Cricetulus griseus: one gene and its partners. Each later gene encodes a partner of the first gene's protein in a complex. Links are inferred from orthologs where the notes say so. Each region holds a gene or a part of one and is shown in the gene's direction. Other genes may lie near its edges.

What was found.
Region 2: Snrnp40 (region 1) and Bcas2 share a complex: the UniProt entries of both Homo sapiens proteins name them as parts of the postcatalytic spliceosome P complex. The link is inferred for Cricetulus griseus from reciprocal best matches to the Homo sapiens genes SNRNP40 and BCAS2.
Region 3: Snrnp40 (region 1) and Lsm7 share a complex: the UniProt entries of both Homo sapiens proteins name them as parts of the U4/U6-U5 tri-snRNP complex. The link is inferred for Cricetulus griseus from reciprocal best matches to the Homo sapiens genes SNRNP40 and LSM7.
Region 4: Snrnp40 (region 1) and Cd2bp2 share a complex: the UniProt entries of both Homo sapiens proteins name them as parts of the U5 snRNP complex. The link is inferred for Cricetulus griseus from reciprocal best matches to the Homo sapiens genes SNRNP40 and CD2BP2.
Region 5: Snrnp40 (region 1) and Bud13 share a complex: the UniProt entries of both Homo sapiens proteins name them as parts of the minor spliceosome. The link is inferred for Cricetulus griseus from reciprocal best matches to the Homo sapiens genes SNRNP40 and BUD13.
Region 6: Snrnp40 (region 1) and Rbm48 share a complex: the UniProt entries of both Homo sapiens proteins name them as parts of the minor spliceosome. The link is inferred for Cricetulus griseus from reciprocal best matches to the Homo sapiens genes SNRNP40 and RBM48.
Region 7: Snrnp40 (region 1) and Cdc40 share a complex: the UniProt entries of both Homo sapiens proteins name them as parts of the postcatalytic spliceosome P complex. The link is inferred for Cricetulus griseus from reciprocal best matches to the Homo sapiens genes SNRNP40 and CDC40.

The regions. Positions count from the first base shown.
Region 1 is NC_048595.1:22,668,699-22,672,198, reverse strand, and holds part of Snrnp40 (U5 small nuclear ribonucleoprotein 40 kDa protein), read left to right. Parts: intron 1-2,710; coding exon 2,711-2,831; intron 2,832-3,494; coding exon 3,495-3,500. UniProt on the Homo sapiens protein: Required for pre-mRNA splicing as component of the activated spliceosome. Component of the U5 small nuclear ribonucleoprotein (snRNP) complex and the U4/U6-U5 tri-snRNP complex, building blocks of the spliceosome.
Region 2 is NW_023276806.1:53,787,774-53,791,842, reverse strand, and holds the start of Bcas2 (pre-mRNA-splicing factor SPF27), read left to right. Parts: upstream 1-1,269; 5' UTR 1,270-1,337; coding exon 1,338-1,430; intron 1,431-1,516; coding exon 1,517-1,609; intron 1,610-3,667; coding exon 3,668-3,738; intron 3,739-4,069. UniProt on the Homo sapiens protein: Required for pre-mRNA splicing as component of the activated spliceosome. Component of the PRP19-CDC5L complex that forms an integral part of the spliceosome and is required for activating pre-mRNA splicing.
Region 3 is NC_048598.1:101,634,295-101,638,275, reverse strand, and holds the start of Lsm7 (U6 snRNA-associated Sm-like protein LSm7), read left to right. Parts: upstream 1-1,181; 5' UTR 1,182-1,245; coding exon 1,246-1,251; intron 1,252-2,111; coding exon 2,112-2,205; intron 2,206-3,078; coding exon 3,079-3,150; intron 3,151-3,741; coding exon 3,742-3,884; 3' UTR 3,885-3,981. Other genes in the region: Sppl2b (signal peptide peptidase-like 2B), read right to left, coding at 1,040-1,090. UniProt on the Homo sapiens protein: Plays a role in pre-mRNA splicing as component of the U4/U6-U5 tri-snRNP complex that is involved in spliceosome assembly, and as component of the precatalytic spliceosome (spliceosome B complex).
Region 4 is NC_048596.1:73,578,268-73,582,435, forward strand, and holds the start of Cd2bp2 (CD2 antigen cytoplasmic tail-binding protein 2), read left to right. Parts: upstream 1-1,368; 5' UTR 1,369-1,523; intron 1,524-1,976; exon of another isoform or gene 1,977-1,982; 5' UTR 1,983-2,005; coding exon 2,006-2,083; intron 2,084-2,278; coding exon 2,279-2,414; intron 2,415-2,530; coding exon 2,531-2,688; intron 2,689-2,790; coding exon 2,791-3,226; intron 3,227-3,304; coding exon 3,305-3,411; intron 3,412-3,489; coding exon 3,490-3,600; 3' UTR 3,601-4,168. UniProt on the Homo sapiens protein: Involved in pre-mRNA splicing as component of the U5 snRNP complex that is involved in spliceosome assembly.
Region 5 is NC_048597.1:158,021,261-158,025,267, forward strand, and holds the start of Bud13 (BUD13 homolog), read left to right. Parts: upstream 1-1,207; 5' UTR 1,208-1,322; coding exon 1,323-1,465; intron 1,466-3,867; coding exon 3,868-3,958; intron 3,959-4,007. UniProt on the Homo sapiens protein: Involved in pre-mRNA splicing as component of the activated spliceosome. As a component of the minor spliceosome, involved in the splicing of U12-type introns in pre-mRNAs.
Region 6 is NW_023276806.1:221,961,466-221,964,965, reverse strand, and holds part of Rbm48 (RNA-binding protein 48), read left to right. Parts: intron 1-1,696; coding exon 1,697-1,842; intron 1,843-2,806; coding exon 2,807-3,375; intron 3,376-3,500. UniProt on the Homo sapiens protein: As a component of the minor spliceosome, involved in the splicing of U12-type introns in pre-mRNAs.
Region 7 is NC_048595.1:263,393,118-263,397,071, reverse strand, and holds the start of Cdc40 (pre-mRNA-processing factor 17), read left to right. Parts: upstream 1-1,154; 5' UTR 1,155-1,384; coding exon 1,385-1,573; intron 1,574-3,954. UniProt on the Homo sapiens protein: Required for pre-mRNA splicing as component of the activated spliceosome. Plays an important role in embryonic brain development; this function does not require proline isomerization.

The DNA.
Region 1 (3,500 bases):
TGGGTGGCAAGTTCTCACACTTGCAATCTTCCCATCTTAACCTTCTGAATGCTGGCATTGTAGGCTTGTATTTAAGGGGATTCAAAGTGGGTATTTTAAAAAGTGTGTGTGGGCTGGGCATTGATGGCGCATGCCTTTAATCCCAGCACTCAGGAGGCAGAGGCAGGCGGATCTCTGTGAATTCGAGGCCAGCCTGGTCTCCAGAGCGAGTGCCAGGATAGGCTCCAAAGCTACACAGAGAAACCCTGTCTTGAAAAAACAAACAAACAAATAATAATAAATAAAAAATAAAAGGGTTCTGTGTGTGTGTGTGTGTGTGTGTGTGTGTGTGTGTGTGTGTGTGTGTGTGTCCTTTAGGAGGCAGAAGAGGGTTCTGATCCCTTGGAGCTAAGTTAACATGTAGTTGCTAGCCACCCAGTGTGGGTACTGGAAACTGACCAAGGATGCTATGCATCAGATACTCTGGAACACTGAGCTACCTCTCCAGCCCTAGTATTCAAATTTTTACATCAGTACATTCACGTAACTCCTTTCTGAATAAAAGAAAGTGCTATGCTTTAGGGGATATCATATATTTTATTCATTTAGAAAAATTACATGGCAGTATTAAATGAATTTCTTTTATAATAGCAATCACCTTCAGAAAATTGCTAATCTTTTTCCTTGTGACATCCAGGCTATTTCTGTTCATTTTAATGTTTATTTTTACATATTTGCTTAATCGCCTATTATGTAAATATATTTATATTTTGGCTTTAGAGTTATTTTAGGAACTGCTAAATAATATTTAGAGCCTGCCATGTACCAGGCATATGCAAAGCATTCTTACTTGTAATCTTTCACAATGAGAGAGCACTTGCCTATTGTGCTTGAGGCTCTATGCTCAATCTCCACCACCACAAAAAATACAAAAGACAGACAGAAGACATGCATATACTGTTGGGGCTGGAGATGGAATCAGTGGTAGAGCACAAAGCCCTGGACTTGAACCCCAGTGATGAACAAACAGGGAAGGGCAGAACTCCTAGATACTCTTGTGACTGTCTTCCAGAAGAGGCTCAAAGGACTCTTTGCCTAAACATGCTTTCCATTTTCTTTCTTCTAAAAATATATATATGCATATACATACATATGTATTGTTTCTATATACATGTTATAAGATGAAAAATCTTAGTTGTTTTCAGTTTCATGTTTACTTTATATAATTTTGGGCATTACTTTCAGTAAGTCAGTTATCTGATTTTGTCCCTGGTTGACCTGGAGCTTGCAGCAGTCCTGCCTCTGTCTCTAGTGATGATCTTTAGTTTTGTTTTTGAGACTTCTGACCTCAAATATACTATATAGCTAAGGGTATCTTTGAACTTCTGACCCTCTGCCTTTCCTCCCAAGTGCTGGAATTCAGGGGTGCACTTGGCATCCCCCCCCCAAAAAAACAGGGTTTCTCTGTGTAGTCCAGGCTGTCCTGAAACTCACTCTGTAGACCAGGCTGGTCTCTAACTCATAGAGATCCACCTGAGTGCTGGGATTAAAAGTATGCGCAGCCACCACCTGGCTTTTTTTTTTTTTTTTTTTTTTTTTTTTTTGAGATGGCCTTATAGCCAAGTTAGTCTGGAACTCTGTTCAAGCTGGCCTCAAATTCAAACTCTTTCTTCATCTGCCTCCTGAGTGCTGGGTTTAGACATATACCACTAAGCCTGGCATCTGGTATATATAGTTGTGTTTCTCTTTTTTAGATTTTTACACTTTATTTGATGTATATGAACGTATGTGCACCACATGTGTGCCGGGTGCCAGAGTTGGTGAGAAGAGGGCGCTGGACCCCCTGCACCTAGGGTCACAGATAGCTGTGAATCACCATGTGATGCTGGAAGCCAAACCCAGATCCTGTGGCAGTACAGCAATACTCTTAACCTCTGAGTCCTTTCCCCAGACTCAAGTTTGTTTGATTTATTTGTTGCTGTTGTTGTTCTTATTGCTGGGGTTTTTTTGTTTTTGTTTTTTGGTTTTTGGTTTTTTTTTTTATATATATATAAAGATTTTATTTATTTATTATGTATGCAGTCTTCTGCCTGCATGCCAGCAGAGGGCACCAGATCTCATTCAAGGTGGTTGTGAGCCACCATGTGGTTGCTGGGAATTGAACTCAGGACCTCTGGAAGAACAGTCAGTGCGCTTAACCTCTGAGCCATCTCTCCAGCCCCTTGTTTTTGTTTTTGTTTTTTGTTTTTTTGTTTTTTCAAGACAAGGTTTCTCTGTGCCTTTGGAGGATGTCCTGGAACTAGCTCTTGTAGACCAGGCTGGTCTCAAACTCACAGAGATCCACCTGCTTCTGCCTCCCGAGTGCTGGGATTAAAGGCGTGTGCCACCAACGCCCGGCTACTGTTATTTTTAATGTAAGGTCTCTCTATGTGACCCTGTTTGTAATGGAACTGTCTCTGTAGGCCAGCCTGGCCTTGAACTCAGAGATCTGCCTGCTTCTGCTTCTAGAATCCTGAGCCATCGTGTCTCTACTTCTCTTTTCTTTCTTTTTTAAGATAGTGTCTATGCAGTCCTGGCTGTCCTGGAGCTCACTTATGTAGACAAGCTGGCCTCAAAGTCACAGAGATCCTCCTGCCTCTGAGTGCTGAACTTAAAGGTGTGCACCACCACACCTGGCCTTTCTCTGCTGTTTTTCAATTTGAATATTGAGTGCAGTTTTGTGTTTTTATAGGTTTGGGACCTGCGTCAAAACAAGTTAACCTATACCATGAGAGGCCATGCAGATTCTGTCACCGGCCTGAGTTTAAGTTCTGAGGGATCTTATCTCTTGTCCAATGCAATGGACAATACAGGTAACTTTGGAGAACAAAGCTGTTCTTGGGCTAGTGTCTGTTGACCCTAAAAGGGAGGAGGAGTTGGTATTAAATGAAATGCATTGGGGAAGCAGTGATTGGACTCAGCTAGTTAAACTATCTACATTCAGACTAGATTACTTGAATTTGATCCTGGGACTCGAAGGCAGCTGGGCAGTGATGTTGCACACTTTCAATCTCAGCACTTGGGAGACAGACACAGGCGGATCTCTGGGTTCAAGGCCAGCCTGGTCTATAGAGTGAGTTCCTGGACAGGCAGGGCTGTTATACAGAGAAACCCTGTCTCAAAAAGAAAGGGGGAGGGGCTGGAGAGATGGCTCAGAGGTTAAGAGCACCGATTGTTCTTCCAGAGGTCCTGAGTTCAATTCCCAGCAACCACATGGTGGCTCACAACCATCCGTTATGAGATCTGGTGCCCTCTTCTGGTGTGCAGATATACATGGAAGCAGAATGTTGTATACATAATAAATAAAATCTTTTAAAAAAAAAGAAAGAAAGAAAGGGGGGATTAAAAAGAGCCTTAGCAATTAGTATTGTGTTGTATTGGTCCTCCTCATGAAGGAGACAGTATTTGTTACTGACATGGAAGCTGCTGGCTCATAGTTGTGTTTGTTGCTTGACTGGTTTGGATTTGCTTTGTAGTGCGAG
Region 2 (4,069 bases), on another chromosome or scaffold:
ATCTTCAAACAGCAACTTGGAAGCAGAGCGCAAACACACTGTGAGGCTTTAAACTCCAGTCACTTACTTCCTCCAGCCAGGCTGCACCTCCTAAACCACAAGAGCGCCACCAACTGGGAGTGTTCAAATATGTAGGTCTAGGAGAGGCAGTTCTCATCAAACCACAAGTTGTGAAGCTCTTTCACTTTACTTAAACCTATAGGCAGCACATTTACATAATGTAAAATCATAAATACCCATATCAATCTTAGAATAACCAGGCTTATAGCTGAGACCAACTTTTCTAACAGATAAGCCTTGGTTGAATGCCCATTAGGCAGGACACATAGGTCCAACAATCTTTTTTGCATTTACCTCTTAGTTTTGGGGTATACTTAACAGAGAATGTATACTAGTTACAGCCTGAGGGGAAGGGAGCCTAGGAGGATCACTATTACCACAAATCCTAAAGGCAAAATGATTGGGTTTTATGTAGGCCCCAGAGACAAAAACATGGCAAAGCTTTTTAAGCAAAGCATCCTGTAGACAGAATTCCAGTCCTTGGAAGGATGAGGTGTTCATTTGTAGCGCTGAAGATTGAGATGGGGCTTTACCACTGAGCTGTCCTGGAACTCGAGCTTGTAGACCAGGTTGGTCTCTAACTCACAGAGATCTCCTGCCTCTGCCTCCCAAGTGCTGGGATTAAAGGAGTGTGCAACCACTGCCCGGCTTACCCCCAGCTTCTTTTTGTTTTTTGTTTTTTCGAGACAGGGTTTCTCAGTATTGTTTTAGAGCCTATTCTGGAATTGGCTCGGTAGACCAGGCTGGCTTCGAACTCTCAAAGATCCGCCTGCTTCTGCCAACCGAGTGCTAGGATTAAAGGCGTGCGCCACCAACGCCTACCCCCAGCTTCTTTAAAGGGCGTGGGAAGTATATTTCTCCCCTCCAGTGAAGTCCAGCAACCACCTCTTGAAAAGTTCCCACGCCCCAATTCTCAGTCTTTTAAACCCCTCTCCCTCCTACTATGCTAGTCTCACTGCATTGCTAGCATCTATGTCTAACTCAAAGGGCATGTCTTGCCTCCGGTCTGCCCTGTTGTTTTTCTCTTAAACTCGAATAAAATCGTCCTCGTAGCCATGGAGGAAAGACAGGCATAATCCCAGGTCTACCGGGACGTCAGTGCGCAAGGCCTCAAACAAAACAGTCCTTAAGACCTAGCGGCTACAGAATCAGCCGCTCTGCACACGGCCCGAATCCGAGAGGCGGCGCTGTGTGTGACGTCATCCCGCGCGCAGGCGCAGTGGCATAGCAGCGAGCCGGCGCAGACTGACGGCGTTGGTGGAGCAGAGTGCCGCGCAATGGCAGGCACGGGTTTGGTAGCCGGGGAGGTGGTGGTGGATGCGTTGCCGTACTTTGACCAAGGCTACGAGGCTCCCGGCGTGCGGGAAGCGGTGAGTATGGGGCGCGTGCGGGGGTGGGGGTCACCCGAGGCATGGTTCCCTTTCTCGCCTTGACCCCGGTTTGTTCTCTTTCTTAGGCTGCGGCCCTGGTGGAGGAGGAAACTCGCAGATACCGACCTACCAAGAACTACCTGAGCTACCTGACAGCCCCGGATTATTCTGCCTTTGAAGTAAGTGCGGTGTCCTGAGTCCCGCATCCTGACCAGGATTCTTGCCGGCTTAGATTTCGGATTGAGGGCTTTAGCTCTGGAAGCAACTGCTGCTTGCTGCTCATGTTGCATGTCAAGATCAGTTGGTTCAAAATAGCCAGATGAGCTTTCCTCAGGGTTCGTATTACAAGAAATACTTTATTGGTTCTGCAGACTTGTTTAATAAAATATTTGGGTCTTTTATTTTTAAGAGTCCCTAGTAAACTTCCCTAAAGGACCCCTTATCCTTTATTCTCTAAGGTCCAGTCAAAAACAGGTAGTAATCACGGGATTTTAATATTTATAATCTTAACTACCTGTACTCTTTGCAACCACTGAAGGGAGATTTTTGTAACAAAACTCAGATAGTTAGCGGATATATGAATGCCTGAACAAACATGCCTAACTGCATACCATTTAAAATTGTTATCCTACAAGTGCAACCAAAATACCATTTAGGTCCTAATCAGGTGTTCATTTGCAAACTTTTAAATGCTTTAATACATTTTTTCTAACCTTTTAAAATGCAGCGCGGTTCCTGCCTTTATAATTAGTGTTCTGGTTAATTTAATACTTTCTTAGTAGTTGTTAATGGTGTATTGAACTATTTTTCCTAGCTCAGAAAATGGTCCTATGAATTACATAACTGTTCATTTTTATTCTTCTGCCAATTAAGGTTTTTAAGGCTGGAACTCATGCTAGCCTATAACTCACTAAGACAGGTCAGCTTTGAACTTGGGATAATCTTCCTGCTTCAGGCTTGTGAGTGTTGGAATTACAAGTGTAAGTCACCATGTCCAGCTCTTGATGCAGGATTGTGTGTGTGTGAGTTTAGACAGAGCCTCAAGTAGATCAGGCTGGCCTCGAACTCACAGAGATCCGTCTGCCTCTAGGTGCTGGGATCAAAGCGTGCGCTGCCACCCCCTATCGGAAAAGCTTTTTAATTTGTTGCAGTTGCATGTATGAATTCTTGTTGCTTCCTAGACTACTGGACTCCTATTCAGAAAGTGCTTATGTACTGTCTATGCAAACTGAACAGAATATGCAATGTATTACAGAACAGAATAGGCACAGTTCGTATCCTCATAATACTTAGATTCTAGTTTTGAGATGGGCAGATAAATTAAAAAGTCTCGGATATTTTTGATAAATGCCAAATAGAAAATTAATGATGTTGCTGGTTGGCTGTGGCCCACACCTTTAATCCCAGAACTCGGGAAGCAGAGATAGGTAGATCTCTGTGAGTTCAAGGCCAGCCTGATCTACAAAACAAGTTCTAGCACAGCCAGGGCTACACAGATGTGATAGCAACTGGGTGACTGTCATACATTAATTAGATGGTTGAGAGAGGTTTTTCAGGCAGAGAAACTGCTCCCTGTGTGGGGTTAGTTGTTGTGATACCTTCCTCATTTAGAACCCAGGTTACAACTGTGTTGTAACCCCTCCCGGGGTTTTTATAACTCCATGTGATTAGTTCAGAAATCAAGTCTCAAATCCAATGTTTCATCTTGTGACTTTATTGAAGTCGAGGTTTTAAACTGGAGTATGTGGGATTTACACTGTGTCACACTACACAGCACTAGAGACTGCCTGAAACATTTGGCTCAGATTCAAGGCTCTCATATGTTGTGAAATACAATGTAATGTGTGGCTGGGTAAAAGTTGTCTTCACAGCTCCACAACTGATTGCAGTGCATTGAAAACTGCTGATTGAGGGTTAATCCTTAACACACAGGTTCTTTTATGTTTGCCTCCTTTTGTGCCTGGGCAGACTATAGAATTAAAGTGGGTGTCTATTTCTTCAAGACCCTAGATAAAATTAAGCCCAGACCCAAACTGGGGGATGGTGAAAGTGTAGCATAGTGGGAGAACATGTGTGAGACCTGGGTCAAATATTAATATCCTTTAAAAAGGGAGATGGGGTTGGTAATTGAGAGAAGCAAAAAGATCCATTATAATGTAGTACAAAGTATAAGATCTCAGTAAACATTATTTTCAACCTGATCCTGGTACTAATTCTTTGTGTTGTTTCTTCATCAGACTGACATAATGAGAAACGAATTTGAGAGGCTAGCTGCTCGACAACCAATTGAATTACTCAGCATGAAGCGGTGAGTGAGGTTAGGCTTGGGGGGAACTCGACAGCGGTGGCTGAGGTTGGGAAGAGCATTGCCAGCTGTGTGGAGGCCGTGAGCAGTGAGATTAGAAGATACAGTGCTGCCAGTTATAAACATGATCACGGCCTTTTTTCTTTAAACAAAAATGTTAGCAAATATAATACATTTAAGCAACTTTCAAAAAGATGGTAAGGCAGACTTTACCCAAGAGGGGTCTCATCTCAACAGGGATGAGAGACATCAGAGTCTCTGTGACTTTTACAGGTTAACTAGTTCACATTTATGAAAATTTTTTTTTTTTTTGTTACAGCATACAGTTGTGTTT
Region 3 (3,981 bases), on another chromosome or scaffold:
TGCTGGCAGGGTGGGGAGCCCTGACACACTTTCAAAAGCTCATGCCCAGCCAAGAGCGGGATGTGGGGACAAAAACGTCAAAGGGGGATGTGGGCCACATGGTGGAGAGGCTAGGAACGCCACGCCTGGGTAATGTCTTAACTTCTTAGCCAATCAAGGAAGAGCATGCCAGTTGTGCCAGTGTTGGGAAGGCTGAGGCTCAGTTACAAGTTCAATGCTAGCCTGGGCTATAAAAGGAGATCCTGTCTCAAGATTTTGTAATCTTGAAAAAAAAAAAAAAGTATTTGAAAGAACGATCCAGACCCAGGGTCCATGAGAGAAGATGAATATATAGAATAACGTGCACAGGCCACCCTGTGGGCCATCCGCATTAGAACCCAGCAACTGCCCCGTGTGCCCGAGGCTGCAGCCCTTCACGAACCATTGGGACTGGAGCCTGATGCCACAGAAACAAACAAGAAATCTAACAACTAAGCCAAGTGTTGTGACGCAGGCCTGGCATCCCAGCACTTGGGAGACTAACAGGGTGTTCAGGGCCAGCCTGGGCAACATGGCAAAGTCAAGAGACCATCCTGGGCTGCAGCGCTTGTGGGAGGCCAGCGCGCATTACAGAATGAGTTCAAGGCCAGCATGCGACTGTGTCTCAGCAAGCGACGCTCACCAAACGTCCTGCCTCGGCACCGGGTCGGGGCGCATCCCGCGGCACCCGGAGGCCCCCACGGGTCCCCCGCGTGTTGCATTGACTGACCCAGAGGTGAGGAACCCCTCCTGCCCAAGGTCACGGAGCAGAAGCCGGGATGCAGGGCTGCAGGCACCCGGGGACCCTCCCGAGCCCCTGGGGGAGGAGGACGGGGACTCGCCCCATTCTGCAGAAGAGGAAACTGAGGCTGGCAGGGGCGGCGGCGGCAGTTGGGGCCCCGGGGCGCAGGGCGGGCTAAGCCCGGCCCGAAGTCTGCGGTGGCGACAGCGAGGGGACGACAGCAAGGTCTCGGCCACGGTCACGAGTGGTGCAGCCGAGCCGACCAGCCGTGGCGCTCACCTGGGCCGCGAGCAGCAGCAGCAGGGCCGCGGCGAGCCGCGCCGCCGCCATGTCCGCCTGTCCTGCCGCAGCTCTAGGCGGAAGGTTTCCCGGCAACGCCTTCGGGACCCCGAGACGCGCACGCGCCGGCCCTGCGCGTGCGCGGGCCCGCCCCTCGCTAGAAGTGGGCGGTGCGGAGCCTGCGCAGAGCAGCGCAGGTCGGCAAGATGGCGGTGAGCATTGCTGGGTCGCGGAGAGAGCGGGGTTCCCCCCGAGGGACTGTAGACGCGAAAACTGGGGGCACAGGAGGACCAAAGAGAGGGGGGCGGACACCCGAAGACGGATAGGGAGACAGGGACGCGGAGGAATAGGAATCACGTGGGACTGCACACCGGGCGTCTTGAGGAAGCAGACCGGGAACCTGGGGAAGCAGACCCGGAACCTGGGGAAGCAGACCCGGAACCTGGGGAAGCAGACCCGGAACCTGGGGAAGCAGGCGGGGAACCTGGGGGTGCAGACCCGGAACCTGGGGGTGCAGACCGAGGAACCTGGGGGTGCAGACCGGGGAACCTGGGGGTGCAGACCGGGAACCTGGGGGTGCAGACCGGGGAACCTGGGGGTGCAGACCGGGGAACCTGGAGGGTGCAGACCGGGGAACCTGGGGGTGCAGACCGGGGAACCTGGGGGTGCAGACCGGGGAACCTGGGGGTGCAGACCGGGGAACCTGGGGGTGCAGACCGGGGAACCTGGGGGTGCAGACCGGGGAACCTGGGGGTGCAGACCGGAGGGGGAACCTGGGGGTGCAGACCGGGAACCTGGGGGTGCAGACCCCTGGGGGTGCAACCTGGGGGTGCAGACCGGGAACCTGGGGGTGCAGGCAGGGGACATGAGGATATACACAGGGGGCATGGGAATAGAGAGAGATGCAGACTCAGCGACCTGGAATTTAGTTGGGGGAACATGGGAGATGGAAATGAGTTTGCAGACAGTTATGAGGGCTGCAGGATGGTCAAAAGGAGTCGCTGGGTGCCGGGTCCAGGCAACAAGGATATGGGAAGACTGGGTCTCACTCCTCAGCTCCTCCACTCTCCAGCAGGACAAAGAGAAAAAGAAGAAAGAAAGCATCTTGGACCTATCTAAGTACATTGACAAGACCATCCGAGTGAAGTTCCAGGGTGGCCGGGAAGGTGAGTGGATGCAACAGGGCCCCTAAGAATCGGGGTTGCGACAAGCAAGGGAAAGCCTCACAAGGCAGGCATTTTAACTCTTAACAAAGGCTAAGCTTGGGCCATCCTGTTACTTGAGAGGTACCAGTATGTCTCAATTGTGGATGGGGAAAATGAGTCCCAGGGAAAGAAAGCCAGGTGCGGTAGCACCCACACCATTATTGCTGGAGCCTGAAGGAAGAGGCCAGAAAGCTGGGAGGACATAGAAGAAGGAGGCAACAGGGGGATGGAAGGAAGGCATCCCTTCAAGAGCCTGGAGGTAGCAGGGACCCAGGAGGTTTCCAGTAGCAGGATCAGGGAAAGTTCCAGCCAGTCTGAGCTATGTGGCAAGACCTGTCTCCAAAAATCAACCAGGGCTAGGCTATAGCTTGGTGGATAGAGGGTTGGTTTAGTGTGCATAAAGCCCTGGATTTTATCTCCAACACCATGGAAACCAGGTGTGGTTGTACAAGCCTGCTATTCCAACCCTAGGAAGGTAAACACAGAATCGGGAAGTTCAAGATTATTTTCAGGTTGCCTAGTGAGTCTGAGGCCAGCCTGGGCAAATGATACTCTCTCATACAAATGGGAGGGGAAAAAAGGCTATTTTGTGTTACATGGAAACTATACAGAATTCAGTTTGGGGGATGATAACATTTTATTGACACTTGGTCCACCATGAACTCACTATCTATGGCCCCTTCCACACTTGTAGGAAGAGAGTTGGGGGTCATAGTCAGCAGGCCACCACATAGGGACATGTCTCCCCATGAGTTCTGTAGTGATAACTGTCCCCATGCCTGGGTCTGTAGTGGGAGGACAATAACATCATCCTTACCCATCTCTCCCTTCAAGCCAGCGGGATCCTGAAAGGGTTTGACCCACTGCTCAACCTGGTGCTGGATGGAACCATTGAGTACATGAGAGGTGAGCTGGCTGTGGTTGTCCAGGGATGCCACCAGGCCCTGTTTCTTCTCCACACCTGTGCAGTCACATTGCCGCAGGTGGTGCTGACCTAGGGTGCAGGTCCCTCCCTGATCACCAGAAAGGTGACAGGCCCACCATGATGGCCCCAGGCTTGAGATTTCAGCTCCTTCCCCTCAGCCCTCCTGGGGATGGCAGAAATAGTAGCTACTGTCCTCTGTCTGGATTGTTTGCCTGTGTCACCAGCTCCAGGACGCATAGGATCTCAGCTTATTCCAGAATAGTACCTGTAATGCCCAAAGAGTGTCCCTTCCTCTGCACCCACAACAATTACTTTCTAATTGCTCCCTGTCTCCACCTCTGGTCCATCCTCCCCGGGGCCTCTGCTTCCCCTGCAGACCACTCCTTGGGGTGAGTATCTGCCCTGGGTTCTTGTAGTATCCATGCCTACAGTCGGCTCTGAGACCCCAGGGCCTGGGTGTGTCAGTCCCCAAAAGAAAGATGGGACAGCCCTCTGAGGTCCTGGTTGTGGAGTGCTGGGTGGAAAGGACATGTCTTCAGTTCCTCTTGCCTGTCACCCCCTATTCCCACCAGACCCTGATGACCAGTACAAGCTGACAGAAGACACACGGCAGCTGGGGCTTGTGGTGTGCCGAGGCACCTCAGTGGTGCTCATCTGCCCACAGGATGGCATGGAGGCTATCCCCAACCCCTTCGTGCAGCAGCAGGATGCCTAGGTGGAGAGCGATCTGGCCCCAAGGACCTTCCTTCCTGTGTGAACTTTGTTTGGTGTTTTACTTTTGGATTTTGTTTCTGGTTTTTTATTTTGTTTTT
Region 4 (4,168 bases), on another chromosome or scaffold:
GCCTTCAGTTCATCTCAGCAGGTGCACACAATCAATCATCCAGTTCTTGTTTTCTATGGCTAGCTTGTAGCCCCCCAGCCCTCCCCCTTGCTTTCTCCCCAGGGATCAGGATAGTAAAGGCATGGGGTTTGTGGTCCTAAGGTGGAGCTCCTCATGGCAGTTCAGCAGGATGAGGCTCAGGGGTGTGTGGTCTCCAGGTAGAAGAGGAAGTTCCCTCTGGGATGCACCATAGTGCCCAGAGCTGGTGTTTCAGGCATTCTGTAGCAAGATGCCCTCCTGGGCTAGGACCTGTGTTCTGTGCCCGTGGAAGAAACTGAGGACACAATTCCAAGTTTCATGGTGATTCAGAATGGAGAAAATCCTGCAAGAGAAAGGTGTGGTCCATCTGGCCGCCCTCATCCAGCTCTTGCAGGATCACCTGAGCTATCTAGCCTGGGGGGGAGGTGTTCTGGCTTTGAGTTGTTCTCAAGAGCTCCAGATCTAGACTTCACTAGACAGGAAGATCTCACCTGGCTCCACCTCTGCAGGAGCGGGATTCCATCACCTTAGCATTTTGCTGAGGGGTGGGGTAGACTTCACCTTGCAACTGGATGTACCCCAGAGTAGGGCATTATGGGCTTCTGGCTGGGTACTGCTCGGATGCCAATGCTACTTCCTGTTATAGTTCCCCTGCAGAAAGAAGGAATTGAATGGGAACAGACATGGGGCTGGGTCCTAAAAGGAGCTAGATTTGGAAAGTGCCTAAGTATTGACAGCCAGAAACAGGACTCAGGAAAAGCAAGAATTTTTTTTTTTTTTTTTAAAGAGACATCTCACGTTGTATCCCCGATTGGCCTCAATCTCGCGACAATCAGTCCTGCTTATTTCCCGAGCGCTGGGACTGTGTCAAGCTTGGAAAGCAGGGTTTCTATTGAATTCCGTTGGGCGCAAAGAGCCCTATATAGAGAGTCAGACTGGAGCCCACAGCTTCTGCTCGGCCTTTGTCCCTCCATCCAGGACTTGGGAACCTCTTTTTTTTTTTGGTTTTTGAGGCAAGGTTTCTCTTTGTGACTTTGGAGGCTGTCCTGGAACTAGCTCTGTAGACCAGGCTGGTTTCGAACTCACAGAGATCTGCCTGCCTCTGTCTCCCGAGTGCTGGGATTAAAGGCGTGCGCCACCACCGCCCGGCCTTCAGCACCTCTTTAAGCAGACAGAGCGTCACGTCCTCACCTGAGTCTCCATTTCAGAGGAATAACAAACACTTGCCGCCATCCTCAAGCTAAGTAAGGCTGGGGCTGGTATAGGAGTTCACGCGAGTCTTTTGGGGTCTTACGTCACTTCCTGCGGAGACTGTCTTGACCAAATGTACACATCCGCCCGTTCCGACAGTCTTTTGGATGGGAGTGAAGCAGCTTCCGGCCTTATGGAGGTCTCCACAGTCTCCTTCCGGGTTATGGAGGCGAGTGCCCCGGATGTAATACTGGCGAAAGCATCTTTCCTTTCTTTCCCCGCCTGACCCCGGGCTCCTCGGTGAGCGCCAGCCGGTAAGACTGTTCGAATCCCTGCGAATTTGCTTCCTCTCTAATTTGTGCGCCGACTCTGACATGGTCTAGCAGCTCGCTGCGTGGAACTGGGGGTCCTAAGCAACCAGGGCGCCAGCTCTTGGGTCCGACCGGCCTCTGTGGGCACTCGGGTGGGAGCTGGGGGAGCCCTGTAGCTCCGCACTGGTAGGGGAGTGGTGACGTAGGGGAGCCTGGCTTTTTTTCCTGCGTGGGAGTACGCACAGGGTCCGCGCGGGGGCGGAGATCCGCCCGTCAGGGCCTCTGAATGAATTGCCAAACCAATTCCCGACGACCCGCCTGCTAGCGCTTGAGATGGTTCAGTGACCCTTCCTCGCTCAAACGGGACCTGGCGCTTACCAAGGAAAATGTGGTGCCACAGCGCTCTCGCGGCCGGCTCTCCTTACCTAATTTTCTTACTCCGTATCCTTTTCCGAGGTCCAGCTGGAGGAAGTGTTCTGCCAGTCATGCCAAAGAGGAAAGTGACTTTTCAAGGTGTGGGAGATGAGGATGATGAAGATGAAATCAGTGTCCCCAAAAAGAAGGTGAGATGGTCAGACTCCTAATGTCTGTGGAGGACTGAGGAGAAATAAAAGGAAGGAAAGCTGAGAAGCGAAAGAAAGGGTTAGTTTGCCCCGGTGCGCTGGGTTTGGTAGGTTTTCAGTTTGGATACAGATCCTGGAATATTTGGGAAGCTCGCCAGTAGGTTGCCTTTCTCATTTGCTGGTTTCTACTCACAGCTGGTGGACCCTGTGGCTGGAGCAGGGGGTCCTGGGAGCCGCTTCAAAGGCAAACACTCTTTAGACAGTGATGAGGAGGATGATGATGATGAAGGGTCCAGCAAGTATGATATCCTGGCCTCAGAGGATGTAGAAGGTGAGTTATTCCCAAAACATTAGCTGTGTTGGAGGGCAAGTCTGATTATGGAGGTGGGAAGTGTGCCTGTCTCTTTTTTGCATGCCTAGCATGGGGCCCCCATGTCTTTGGTGCAGGTCAGGAAGCAGCTACTCTCCCTAGTGAGGGGGGTGTGAGGATCACACCCTTCAACCTGCAGGAAGAGATGGAGGAAGGCCACTTTGATGCTGATGGCAACTACTTCCTGAACCAGGATGCACAGATCCGAGACAGCTGGCTGGACAACATTGACTGGGTGTGGCCCAGGAGCTGTCCTGGCTGAGGCCTGGGAATGCAGGTGCTGGGCCTGGGCCCTGGTGGAAGTTTGTAGGAAATAATAATTATCTTTCCCTTATAGGTGAAGATCAAGGAGCGGCCACCTGATAAGCACCAGGTTTCAGACTCAGAGGAGGAAGACAGCCTGGGTCAGACTCCGATGAGTGCCCAAGCCCTCCTGGAGGGACTTTTGGAGCTGCTGTTGCCAAGAGAGACAGTGGCTGGGGCACTTAGGCGTTTGGGGGCCCGAGGAGGAGGCAAAGGGGACAGCAAGGGGACTGGACGGCCCAATTCCCCACAGCGCCTAGACCGGCTCTCTGGGTTGGCTGATCAAATGGTGGCTCGAGGCAACCTTGGTGTATACCAGGAAACAAGGGAACGATTGGCTATGTGTCTGAAGGGTTTGGGGTGTCGGACTCAGGGATCCCATGACCCCACACCTCCACCCTCCCTGGACATGTTTGCTGACGAAGTGACAGAGGGAGAACTGGAAACCCCGACCCCTGCGCATAAAGGAGGTAAGCTTTTAGGACACAGGAGAGGCAATGCCAGTGGGAGACTGGGCACTTAAGGCCGATACGTCTTTGTTGTCTTAGAAGCAGAGTCAGCGGGAGATGGTCTAATGGATGTGATGTGGGAATATAAGTGGGAGAACACGGGGGATGCTGAGCTGTATGGACCATTCACCAGTGCCCAGATGCAGGTCAGTGGCTTCCTCCTGTCTTGTCTGTCCATCCCGACTTCTGTCATCTTTCCTAAGTTTTGTCCTCTCTTCTTACAGACCTGGGTGACTGAAGGCTACTTCCCGGATGGTGTTTATTGCCGGAAGCTGGACCCTCCAGGTGGTCAGTTCTACAATTCCAAGCGCATTGATTTTGATCTCTACACGTGAACCTGCTAAGGGCCCAGTGTGGTAGCCCCTTTTTCTTGGACTTGGCAGAGGAGGCCCCAGCTGCCCTGGGCAGTGAGGATCTTGGAAGCTACTCTTCAGCCACTTTCCCTTTCCCAATAAAAGCCTTGAGTGTGCATCAGGGCCTTGATGTGCTGGTAGCCAGAAGCCAGGGCTCCTCCGTAGCTCCTGTTGGCTTACCTGGCCCTTGAGTGTCTCCTCCTTCCTTAGATGCTTCTCTCTGGTGTCTTGGACCACCTCGGTTTGTTTTCCGCCCTTGGTGGCAGTAGTAGGGCCCGTCAGGTGTCCTGTGACTTGCCATGTCAAATTCCCTTCAATCACTCTATTCTCCTATCTCCCCTGCAAGTCCTTGTTTTGCTGATCTTCAGCTTTTAGGACCTCAGATTCTCTGGCCTAGTAACCCCTTTGCAGCTGGGACATTTGGAAAAGTTTGAGATCCTATTGAGAACACTCAGGAGGCCTCTTAAACATGGGTTCTCCTCTTCTCCCTAGTCTGATTTTTCCTTCCCTTGCAGTAGCTCCCATAGCTCTTAGGTGAAGCATGAACTTA
Region 5 (4,007 bases), on another chromosome or scaffold:
GCAGAAGGATAACAAACTCAAGATCATCCTGGGCAACTTAGCAAGGTCATGTCTCCAAAATTCAGAAAGGGGTGGGGGAAGTAGTTCTGCTACAGAACTCTTCCTTATCATGTGCAAGGCCCTGGGTTCAATCCCCAGTGCTTGATGGAAGAAGAAACAGAATTGTGGGGGTCAAGTGAAGATTCACCAAACACTTAACCCCCTATAAGAAATAGAATCTTCCTGGCTTTCTTTTCTTTGCCACATTGACAACAATTCCTTGTCATTTTTATTGGGAAGATTGTATACCATTTTCTTGAGAGATAATACCAAACGTGGAAAGGTCAATACAGGTTTGATGAGACCAATCCACTTTTCAGTCACAATATTGGGGGTGGGATTTGTTTGACTTCCCCTAAATGGCACTGTTCCAGTATACTGTCTACCAAAAGGTATTTATACCAATAAAAATAACCGAAATAGTTCTACTGGTGGTTTATTGTGGGCAAAAGAGCTGGGGGTCATCAGTAGGTACACCAGCTGGGTCAATCCAGCTGTCTTCCCACACCTGATCGTGGTACTTCCTGGTTCTTCGTTTATAAGGTCACCTCCACCAAGTACATACAATTATTTATAAAGAGCTCCTCATCTCCTTGGTGCCCTAACTCTTAATGGGCTTGGGAGTCCTCTTCCTCCTGCTCTGGGTTGGCATCTACCTATGAGTCCTCAAGGGTATCCACCAGGCAGCTTCACCAAGTCCCTGCTTTTGTAAATTCTTTCTTCTTTCTTCTTCTTCTTCTTCTTCTTCTTCTTCTTCTTCTTCTTCTTCTTCTTCTTCTTCTTCTTCTTCTTCTTCTTCTTCTTCTTCTTCAATAATGATAATAATAACTGAAATAAACTAATTGTGCTAGGCATTTGGCACAACATCCGTTATTAAAATGCTATTCAATAACTTGCCCCCAGTGGCACAGTTACGATCGGTCTCGTATTCAAATAGGTGCTCTGATCTCCTGAGTTTCGGTTCTTCCCTACTCCGGTGCAGTCGTCAGGGCAGGACTAGTTAAGTCGGCCTGTGACCTCTTTGCTGGAACAGTCCCGGCTGAGAGCGTTGCACGGATGTGTCGTCACAGGAAAGCAGAACGGCCCTACGATGCATTCATGCACCTCCCCTTCCCCACACCGAGCCTGTAAAGACATTTTTTAAGAGTCATGACACCTATCAGCCCCAGTAGCTCCATAAGGGCCACTCCTAGGGCTTCCGTTTCTGGCTCCACCCCCATCCGTTTCCCGTAGAAGAATTTTTGTCCCCAACGCCGAGCCGTTGCCCCGCCCTCGCCGCTGCCATGGCGGCAGCTCTGCCGCTCTCCAAGGCTGAGTATCTGAAGCGTTACTTGTCTGGAGCAGATGCTGGCCCGGAAGGAGGTCCAGAGTCGGTTCGGAAGCGGCGCAGAAAACGGCCGAAGCCAGGAGGCGCCGGTGGCAAGGGGTGAGTGGACTGATGGGGCATCGCGCTGCCCCTTTGCGCCCTCGGCCGCAGCTCTTCCTCCTCCCCGCCCGCGCGGCGCTGCGAGCGCTGCCGACCCAGGCCCGGCCCCGCTGCTCCCGAGCCGGCTCTTCGCCGCCGCCTGCAGCTCAGACCTCGTCCTCTGAGCAGTGTCTTCCATGCGTTAAGGCCAGCTAGAACTTAGAACTTCCTTACTGTTTTCCCGCCTTTGTAGCCTTGTATCGTCCCTCGAACAGATTGAAAAGTCGTGCCCTGAGAGTAGTAGAACTAATTAAAAGCCCCAGTGATTGCGGTTTTTTTTTTTTAATGTTAGAATTCAAAAATCTGTTTCTGGGGCCTTCAAAGTATTAGGAACTGATCTGGAACCAAAGATCTAAGTCCTGTTATTCTTGCCTACTACTAACAGTAACAACTAATATGGGTACAGTTCCTATCATGTGCCTGGCCTCTTTCTAAAAACTTTGACCATATAACTTTCAGGACATTGTGGTGAAGTAGACATTGTTTTAAATAATATACTTTCCAGGTTCGAAAGAGGGATGTGCTGAGACAGATTTCGGATGCAGTGACTTGGCCACTGGAATCTGGAAAGGTTGGGATAGGAGATCCAACATCAGCCCACAGGACAAAAGAAATTATAGACTTTAGAGCAGCGACCCTAAGTTTAGCAGCTTGCTAAGAAGGTACTATTTTGGATACAAGGTCGAAACTCTGGAAGCTAATCCCGTTCTTATACACCATGCCTTGGGTCTGCTGCTTGCTAAGAGCTTAGCAGCTTAGAGAATATAAAGTGTGGTTCACACCCCTCTATGGGGGAACCATCGTGAGCTGACAGTATTATTCTCATATTTCTACTGAGAAAATTCTGTGGCCCATTGAAGTGGGTAGACTAATTCCCTAATTCCCTCTTTGCCCAAATTTACCTTCATTTGGGACTTCAGCATGACATCAATCTTTGTGGTGTTACTAGTTGAGCCTATATTCAGTTAAGGTATGTGGTAAATTCAGTGTGGTTCTTTTTTTTTTTTTTTTTTTTTAATTTTTCGAGACAGGGTTTCTCTGTGGCTTTTGGAGGCTGTCCTGGAACTAGCTCTTGTAGACCAGACTGGCCTCGAACTCACAGAGATCTGCCTGCCTCTGCCTCTGGAGTGCTGGGATTAAAGGTGTGTACCACCAACGCCCAGCTCAGTGTGGTTCTAAGAAGGAGCAATGCCATTCAGGGAACATGGTTTAAGCTTTGGAACAGCACTAACTGGAATCTGAATCCTAGCAGTGCTACTTTATAGCCTGGGTCATCTTGGGCAAGAGAGTTCACCTCTCTGAGACTCGGAGTCCTAGTGGTCCTGAACACTGCTGTTTGTCTGAAATGGCTGTTGTGATTAAAGATGTAGCATGTGTTCCTGGTTTTTCAAATACCTCTTTGCAGCACAGATCACATCCATTGGATGCCATCATCTTTCAGCAGTTGGTACACTGGTTACTCAAGTCCACAGGTACTTAAGTTCCTCCACACAATGATACAGTATTTGTGGGTAAACTATTCATATCCTCTTTAAATTGTCTCTAGGCTACTTACAAAACCCATTGCAACTTAGGTGGTGTACTGGCTGGATTTGTGTGTCAACTTGACATAAGCTAGAGTCATCAGAGGAAGGAGCCTCAACTGAGGAAATGCCTCCATGAGATCCAGCAGTTAGGCATTTTCTCATTTAGTGATCAATGTGGGAGGGCCCAGCCCATTGTGGGTGGTACCATCTCTGGGCTGGTGGTCCTGGTTCTATAAAAAGCAGGCTGAGCAAGCCATGGGGAACAAGCCAGTAAGTCGCACCCATCATGGTCTCTGCATTAGCTCCTGCCTCCAGGATCCTGCCTGTTTGAGTTCCTTCACTGATGAACAGCAATGTGGAAGTGTAAGCCACTTGGGAGGCAGAGGCAGGTGGATCTCTGAGTCCAAGGCCATCCTGGTCTATGGAGCAAGTTCCGGGATAGCCAGGGCTGTTATATAGAGAAAACCTGTCTTCAAAAACCAAAACCAAAAAACAAAAAGGTGGACAGTGATGGAGTGAACTGACAGTAGGAGTCCATATACACAAAGACTGAGCCATACTTTTGAACTTTAAAAGCCAAAAGGTGAGATGGCCCAATGCTTGCCAACGAGCCTGACAGGCTGAGTTCAATCCTCTGAACCCACATGGTGGAGGGAAACAACTGACTCCTGCAAGTTGTCCTCTGACTTCTATATGTATTCTATGACACACACACACACACACACCCCGTCACACATACACACACGATAAATAAATGCCAAAAAACAATAGGTAAGTGTACATAGGCCTGTGTCCCAGAATGAGTTCTTTTTTGAGGCTTTTATTGTTCTCATCTAGAATGCGGATTGTTGATGATGATGTGGGCTGGGCAGCTATTTCTACCACTAAGCCGGAAAAGGAAGAGGAAGAAGATGGAGATTTGCCTGTGGTATGTTATCTTTTGGAGTCTTGTCAGGACTTTGAAATGATCCAAGCAT
Region 6 (3,500 bases), on another chromosome or scaffold:
GGTAATATCTCAATAAGAATTAATCATTATCTGTAGATAACAGAAGTACTTGATTACTTATTATAGTGTTGGTTCAGAATAGGTATTCAGTATCTCTTGAGTGAAAACAATTTATTTCTTTCTCTTTTATTTTTGTGTGTATGTGGTGTGGTTGTGTGAGCCTATTCACCTGTATGCATGTAGGACCCTGTGGATCATCAGATCTCCTGGAGCTGGAGTTATACAGACACTTGTGAGTTGCCATGCTGGGACTTGAACCTGGGTCTTCTGGAAGAGCAGTCAGTGCTCTTAACCCCTTAGCTATCTCTCCAGCCCCAGAAGGAGCAACAGTTCTTAATTTTGCATTGGTGAGCTGTTGTATTTTCACTGTTTCCACTTGTTCATGTGCGTGTGTACCTACGCGCACAGGAGACGGTTCTTTCCGACCATGTGGGCCCCAGAGGTTGAACTCAGGTCTTCAGTCTTAGTGGCAAAGGCCTTTACATGCTGAGCCATCTTACCAGCTTCAAGTTATATATTTGGCTCACAAGTTCTATTAACTCAAGCTAACTAGTAGGATCCTGAGTTATTCTTTTAAAAAAGAATAGGTAAGTGTGACTAGCTTAGCTGAATACCTATTGAGATTATGAGTAGAGAGAAAAGAATTTCTTGGGGTTGGAGATATGGCTGGGTGGTAAGATAGCTTGCAACTCTTTCAGAGAACGGGTTCAGTTCTCAAGCACCCTTGTCAGGTGGCCCACAACCACTTGTAACTCCAGCCCCACAGGATCCAGTGACTTCTGGTCTCTCTCTGTGGGCACATGCACACAAATGTACAGAACACATACATACAAGTAAATAGATAATAAATCTTTTTATTAAGAGTACTTTCTGAGCTGGGCATTGGTGGCACACGCCTTTAATCCCAGCACTCCAGAGGCAGAGGCAGGAGGATCTCTGTGAGTTCGAGGCCAGCCTGGTCTACAAGAGCTAGTTCCAGGACAGCCTCCAAAGCAATACAGAGAAACCCTGTCTCAAAAACAAAACAAACAAAAAATAGTACTTTCTGGATCAGTGGCATCATCCAAAACAAAGCATCTTACCCAGCCTCCTATCTCCCCCCCCCTACACACACACAGTTTGCTCCTTAAACCTATGGAATACCTATTAAGCTTTTATCTTAGGTAAATCTGGATTACAAAGCCATGGCTGCAGAGATGGCTCGGCAATTAAGAACATGGACTGCTTTTCCACAGGACCTGAGTTTGATTCCTAGTAACCAGGTCAGGTGTCGGTAAACTCTAGCTCCAGGACAGAGCCTCTACACATACTTACACATAATTGAAAGTAATAAAAATAATAATTTTCTGGGTGTAGTGGCACATATCTTTAATCCCAGTACTTGGGGAGGCAGAGAAAGAAAGAAAACAAGCTATGTATCTGGGCGATGGAGAGATGACACAGAAGCTAAGAGCACTTATCGCTGTTCCAGAGATCTCAAATTTGGAGTTTGGTTCCCATCCCTCATGTCAGGCGGTTCACCACTGCCTGTAACTCCAGTTCCAGGGCCTCCATCACCTCTGGCCTCCTTAGGCATCTGTACTCATGAGCATATACTTGAATGCAGAATACACGTGTATATAAGGCATAAATAAAAAGCCATGTAATTTATGTGTTTCTCTTTTGAGTTCTCTTTAAATTATCTAATTCCCTTTAGGGTAGCTAAGAAAAAGATGGATGAGCAGAGTTTCTTTGGTGGGTTACTTCATGTATGCTATGCTCCAGAATTTGAGACAGTTGAAGAAACTAGAAAAAAATTAGAAGAAAGAAAGGCTTACATTGCAAGAGCTACTAAAAACAAAGGTACGGAAAGTCTGTTGTAAACACTCCCTGTGTATGGGGCACTACTAGGGATGTGTGTCATTGTGGAGTCCCTGCTCAGTTATGGCCTTTGGTGACTTGAACCACAGGGTTCTGTGTAGCACTGTACAGTCTTGGCAAGAAAGACAGGGTGTTGGTTCCTGGAATATTTCCTATGGGATCTGAGAGATGGTTGAATTTTAGCAAATGTTATCAGAAGGGGAGTGGAGAGGATGGCAGGGTGAGTCAGGCTACACGTTTAAAGCTGGGGAAATAAATTGCCATCATGCGTTTAAGGAGCTGTAAGTCCTACAGGGTAACCAAAATACCAAGGTTTTAGTGAGAGAAATTAGGAAAGTAGACAGGAAGCAAATCATGAAGTGCCATGTGTCACCTGCTAAGCAATCCAGTGACTAACATGAAGGCAGCAAGAAGCAACTGTGATTTGCAAACCAGTTAGAAGTGCTACTCCTGGTGGGAGAACTCCAGTTTTTGATCAGCAGCTGGTTCAAATGTCCACATGTCCAACTGAGTTTCTCCTGACACAAGTAGGAACTAAACATGGTTTATCCATATAGTAGAATATTCTGAAACTGTAAAGGTTTCTACGCAATGGTATGGGAAACTCTCTAAGATTACAGTTAGTGGAAAATGTAAAAGAATAGATTTTTATTATCTTTTGACTAGGGAGACAAGGAGGCTCCAGGGGAACTGTGAGGCATTTTAGATAGATGAATAAGACAATACACTAAATAAGTAGGGAAAACAAGGAGAAGGGAAAGCTTGACACAGTACCCTTTCCTATCCTTTCAGAAAGCCCTTAAATCTTATCAGTGCCTTCCCTGCTCTGGAAGTATCATTTGGGGAGTAGAGTGTGGTTTTAGAATTACAAGATTCTGAATGATCAAAATGATTAATGAAACATTTGTTTATCTTTCCCTCAATGTCTAAAAATACAACTTTGAAGACTATTACATGACAAAGAAGAAACTGGTTCCAGAGCAAAAAGGAGCAAATGATTCTAGACAAGATTTCCATCCACATATGCCTGGATTTTGCACAACTTCTTTGAACACTTCTCCTGAGAACTCAAGTCCTTCTCTTCCTTATTCTTGTGACTTGCCTTTATGCTATTTTGCCTCTCAAAGCAACTTTTTACCTGGGGAACATATGGACAGAGCATCAAATTCCTGTAGTAGCGGTAGGAACCATAGTGAACTATCAGAGCATTGTAACTACAGTGCCTTTTCCCCAAAAGTACAGGTGAACACTTACAAGAATTCACTACCTTGCTCTAGTGGGCAAGAGGTCATTACTACCTCAGAGTCAGTCGGCAGATTTATGCCTAGGACAACACAGCTGCAGGAGAGGAAAAGAAGGAGAAACTGTGATCATGAACTTGGAATGTTTCCTGAAACAAACACAGGCAGTAACGAGGTTGTGATTGGACCTAAGTTACCAGGAATTCCCACAGTGGATCTGCAGGATGACTCCTTGAATACAACGGCAAATTTAATTCGGAGTAAACTTAAAGAGGTGAGGTAATTGTTTTTTAATTGAGATAATTTAGTTGTAGAGTCAGCAACTATTTAGGAAATTATTTGGAGGAACTAAAACATTGTAATTATTCATTTTACTTTTTGTTTTTGATGTATTTTCCT
Region 7 (3,954 bases), about 240 Mb from region 1:
GGCTCCGCGGTGGGCTGCAGCCTTGGCCGGCGCCGAGGCACGAGGGCGAAGCGGCGGCGGGGTGGGAGCCGCGCGCCCCGGACCGCACGGCACCGCAGGTGAGAGCCGCCGCCGCCGCCGCCGCTGCACCCGGAGCAGCCTCGGGCTGGTCCCCACAGCCGAGACCCGCGCCCTCGTCCTCCACGCGCAGCCCGGGCTGCTAGGCGGCGGGCGCGGGGGAGCCCGGGATGGGGGCGGGGGCGGGCGGCGCGCCCATCATCGCCGCCGCCGCGGCCGCAGACCCGGGCTCCCACACACGCCCCTCTCGGCTCCGGCCGATGGAGAGCAGTTCCCCTGCCAGGACCCGGGGAAGAAAGGGGACAAAATCCTGACAGACTCGTGCTCACCGAGAAACCGTGGGGGGCTCGCGCCTTACCCCTTCTTCATGCTTCGGCGGCGGTCGCCGGTCCCGCTCCGCGCTGGGACTTCACCGAGAGCCCCTCGGGAGCGCCGGGCCGCGGGGTGGAAGCCGCGCCGGGCACTGGCTGGGGCGCCGGGCCGCCGGGAATGCCGCCGGGGGCGCCACTGATGGCCCGAGCCGCGGTGCGCGCGACGCGCGAGCGAACAACACCGCGAGCCGCCGCTGCCCTGCGCCGCCCCCTCCCCGCGCGACGCTCCACAACCGGGCGCGGGGACCCGCGCCTGCAGCAGGGGGAGCCGCGGGGCGCTCTCCGCCTCGCCCCACAACCTTCCCCCGGAGCTGCGCCAGGCGGGCCCCAGGTCTCCGAACTGAAGATTCGCACTGTCCCCTTGAGTCCCGCAGGGCGTAGGGTCGCAGGGCGGGAGACTCAGCCTCCGCTCACGTACTCGTCCGTGGGCAAGAGGACGGAGCTTCCCCCTGTCCTGAGGCTCCGTGGTATTGCCCAATCCGCACTTTGGGGGAGGGGGCCGCAGAGAACGATGCTGGGCTAGGGAATGAGGGAAGATGATATCCAATTGAATGAACCATCCTTTGGGGGCGGGGTCGAAGGCCGACCCCTCAGCCCGGCTCCGCCTCCTCCCTCCAAACTACAATTCCCATGGTGCCTCGCGCTTCCCACCGCTCTGCACGCCGGGAGTGGAGGACCTCGAGGCTTCAAAGGTATCTCAGAACTGTGGGGCTTTAATCAACGAGGTCCTGAAAGTTATAAGTAGTTGTAATTCCTTGTGCTTATCTAGATTAATGTTTGCGAGTCTCAGATACTGATGCAGTCAGAGTAATAATCATTATATTTTTTTCAGGAAGTTATAAATGATTTTTTGTTAAAGAAGGTAAATAAAGTGTTCCTTGGCAATCTGTCAGGACCTGGGAGTCGCTGCTTCTTCCGCCCTGGCCTGACCACAGCAGAGAGGATCTGTTGCAGTCATGTCCGCTGCGATTGCAGCTCTAGCTGCTTCGTATGGCTCGGGTTCAGGGTCCGAATCGGACTCGGACAGTGAGGGCAGTCGGTGTCCGCTGCCAGCCGCCGACTCTCTCATGCACCTGACCAAATCGCCTTCAGCCAAGCCCTCTCTGACAGTGGCGGTAGATTCGGCTCCGGAGGTGGCGGTTAAGGTAAGTGTTTTGGTCACTGATGGGTGCGGGAATTGGTTTCAGATCCCAAACCGCTCGTCTCCGGTGAGGTGCTGAGAAGTAAATTACTAGCGTTTACGCGTCGTCCCACATCTTCCTCCACTACCCCTCTGCTGTCTCCATCGCATAAAAGTGGTCCAAGAGGGGAAGAAAGTTTGAATTCTAGGCTAGGACGTAGTCTTATTAGAGCAGAAGTTTAGAACATAGCTAAAAGCGCATCAGGACTTCCTAACTAGAATTTGTGCCCTCACCAGAAGCGAGCCGTGGCCAGGCACTGTTTTGTTTTTAAGAAACTAGTCTCGAATCCTGGCTTCACTACTTGCAAATTATACAACTTCCTCTTGTATAATGGAGATAGTTGTTTAAAAACTTACCTATACCGGGGGGTTATTGTAAAGATTAAGTGAAATTATATAGTAAAGTTTATATAACACAGAGCCTAATAATCTAGTAAGAGGGCAATACATGCTAGCTATTTGTGATTGTATATGTTAATACAACGAGTGGGAAAGGGGCATAAGCTTTAAGAAGTAGCATGCATGGACCCAATGAAGGAAGGTGATAAAGGAAAAAACCCAGCTATGTAGTTCTTTATTAAGCACGTATCATTTTCCAGAAACAACAGGACTGAAAGCCACAGAGGCCAACAAAACCGAACATACTGGGAGCATTAGTGCATACTGGAATCAATTAGATGTGGACAAAAATGTAGTTACAGATTGGATTGAACACTGGGAGGGGGAAATAACCATGGTAAAGAATAAGGTAAGGCAGGATGGTGGTGGTGCAAGCCTCCCAGCACTCAGGAGACAGAGGCAGACAGATCTCTGTGAGTTCAAGGCCAGCCTGGTCTACAGAGCCAGTTCCAGGATAAAGCTACACAGAGAAACCCTGTTTCAGGAAGGAAAAATAAAGAAGAAGGTAGCAGTGTGATTTTTGTAGAATGCTCAGATCCTCTCTGAGGGGAGATAAAAAGTCAGTTCAAAGAAATCGAAGCCCTGTAAACTAAGGCAAGAGTTTGCAAGCTTAGGTGACTTGCAAACCTAGGAAGGCAGAGATTTGGTGTGTCTGGGGCTGATGTCTTAAACTCAGTGAGAGCATCGTCAATCAGTAGTTAGCTCCATGTGGGTGTTCAAAATGTGGAGAGGAATCTGTACAAAACTTCCCTCGGAAGATGGGAGGAGCGAGGGAGGTCTTGTTTGTGTCTTAAGTCTTTCACAAGTTTTGACGGGCCATTTATGAAACTTTTTTTTTTTTTTAAATAAGGACATCTGGCATGAAAGAATGCTGGGAATTCTATCTTTAGAACAAAACAAAGCTCTCCCAACTGAGGACATCTCACTAGCCTCCTCAGTCTGTTCCGTAGAAAACTAAGCTTTTGGTTCTGCATTCTTCCCATCTTTGTCACAGCCCCCCCCCCCCCAAGCTCAGTGCAGTCTAGCCTTAGCTTCTTGATTAACAACTTCATGGGAATGATGTCTTAGGCCTTGCATTAATTGGTCCTTCCATCTGACTTGAATCTCTGCATCAAATAACATTGTTAAAGGCATTGATGGCATATACCTTTAATCCTAGCATTTGGGAGGCAGAGGAAGGTGGATCACTGTGAGTTCGAGACCAGCCTGGTCTACAAGAGCTAGTTCCAGGACAGCCTCCAAAGCCACAGAGATTTTTTTTTTCACATATATTTTTCACATATATTTTCCTGTCTTGGAAAAAAACAAACAAACAAAAATCAAAAAAAAAAAAAAAAGAATTTCTCTATCTCAATTCATTTTTTCCCTGCAGCTTCCACTGAGTATTCTGCAGCCTCTGGATTCCCTCATCTTCTGCCAGCCCCTTCAGCTTTAGTGCCTCCTAGGTCTAGGCCCTTATTTCAAGTTCCATCCCCTCAGAGGTGACTACTGTGAAGAAGTTAACATAGGCATGAAATGAGTCAAGATTCCAGTGTTATTCAGATCTACCTCTAGCACTACACACATGGCCACTTGGATATATTACTTAAGAGCTAAGCCAGTTCTTATTCATCTTTCAAATAGGTTTAGCTACTTATTTTCAGAAATTCGAAGCAGTTTTAACTGTATCAAATAATACATGCTGATTAAATGCCAACTACCCTGATAAACTGTCCTAAACTCCTTGCCAGCTTAAGTATTAATAAAAAAAAAAAAAATCTCTCCGGGTGGTAGTGGCACACGCCTTTAATCCTAGCACTTGCGGGGCAGAGGCAGGCAGATCACTGTGAGTTCAAGGCCAGCCTGGTCTACAGAGTGAGTTCCAGAACAGCCTCTTAAGCCACAGAGAAACCCTGTCTCAACCCCCCCTCCCCAAAAAAAAAAACTCATCCAGGATGGTTCTTAGGC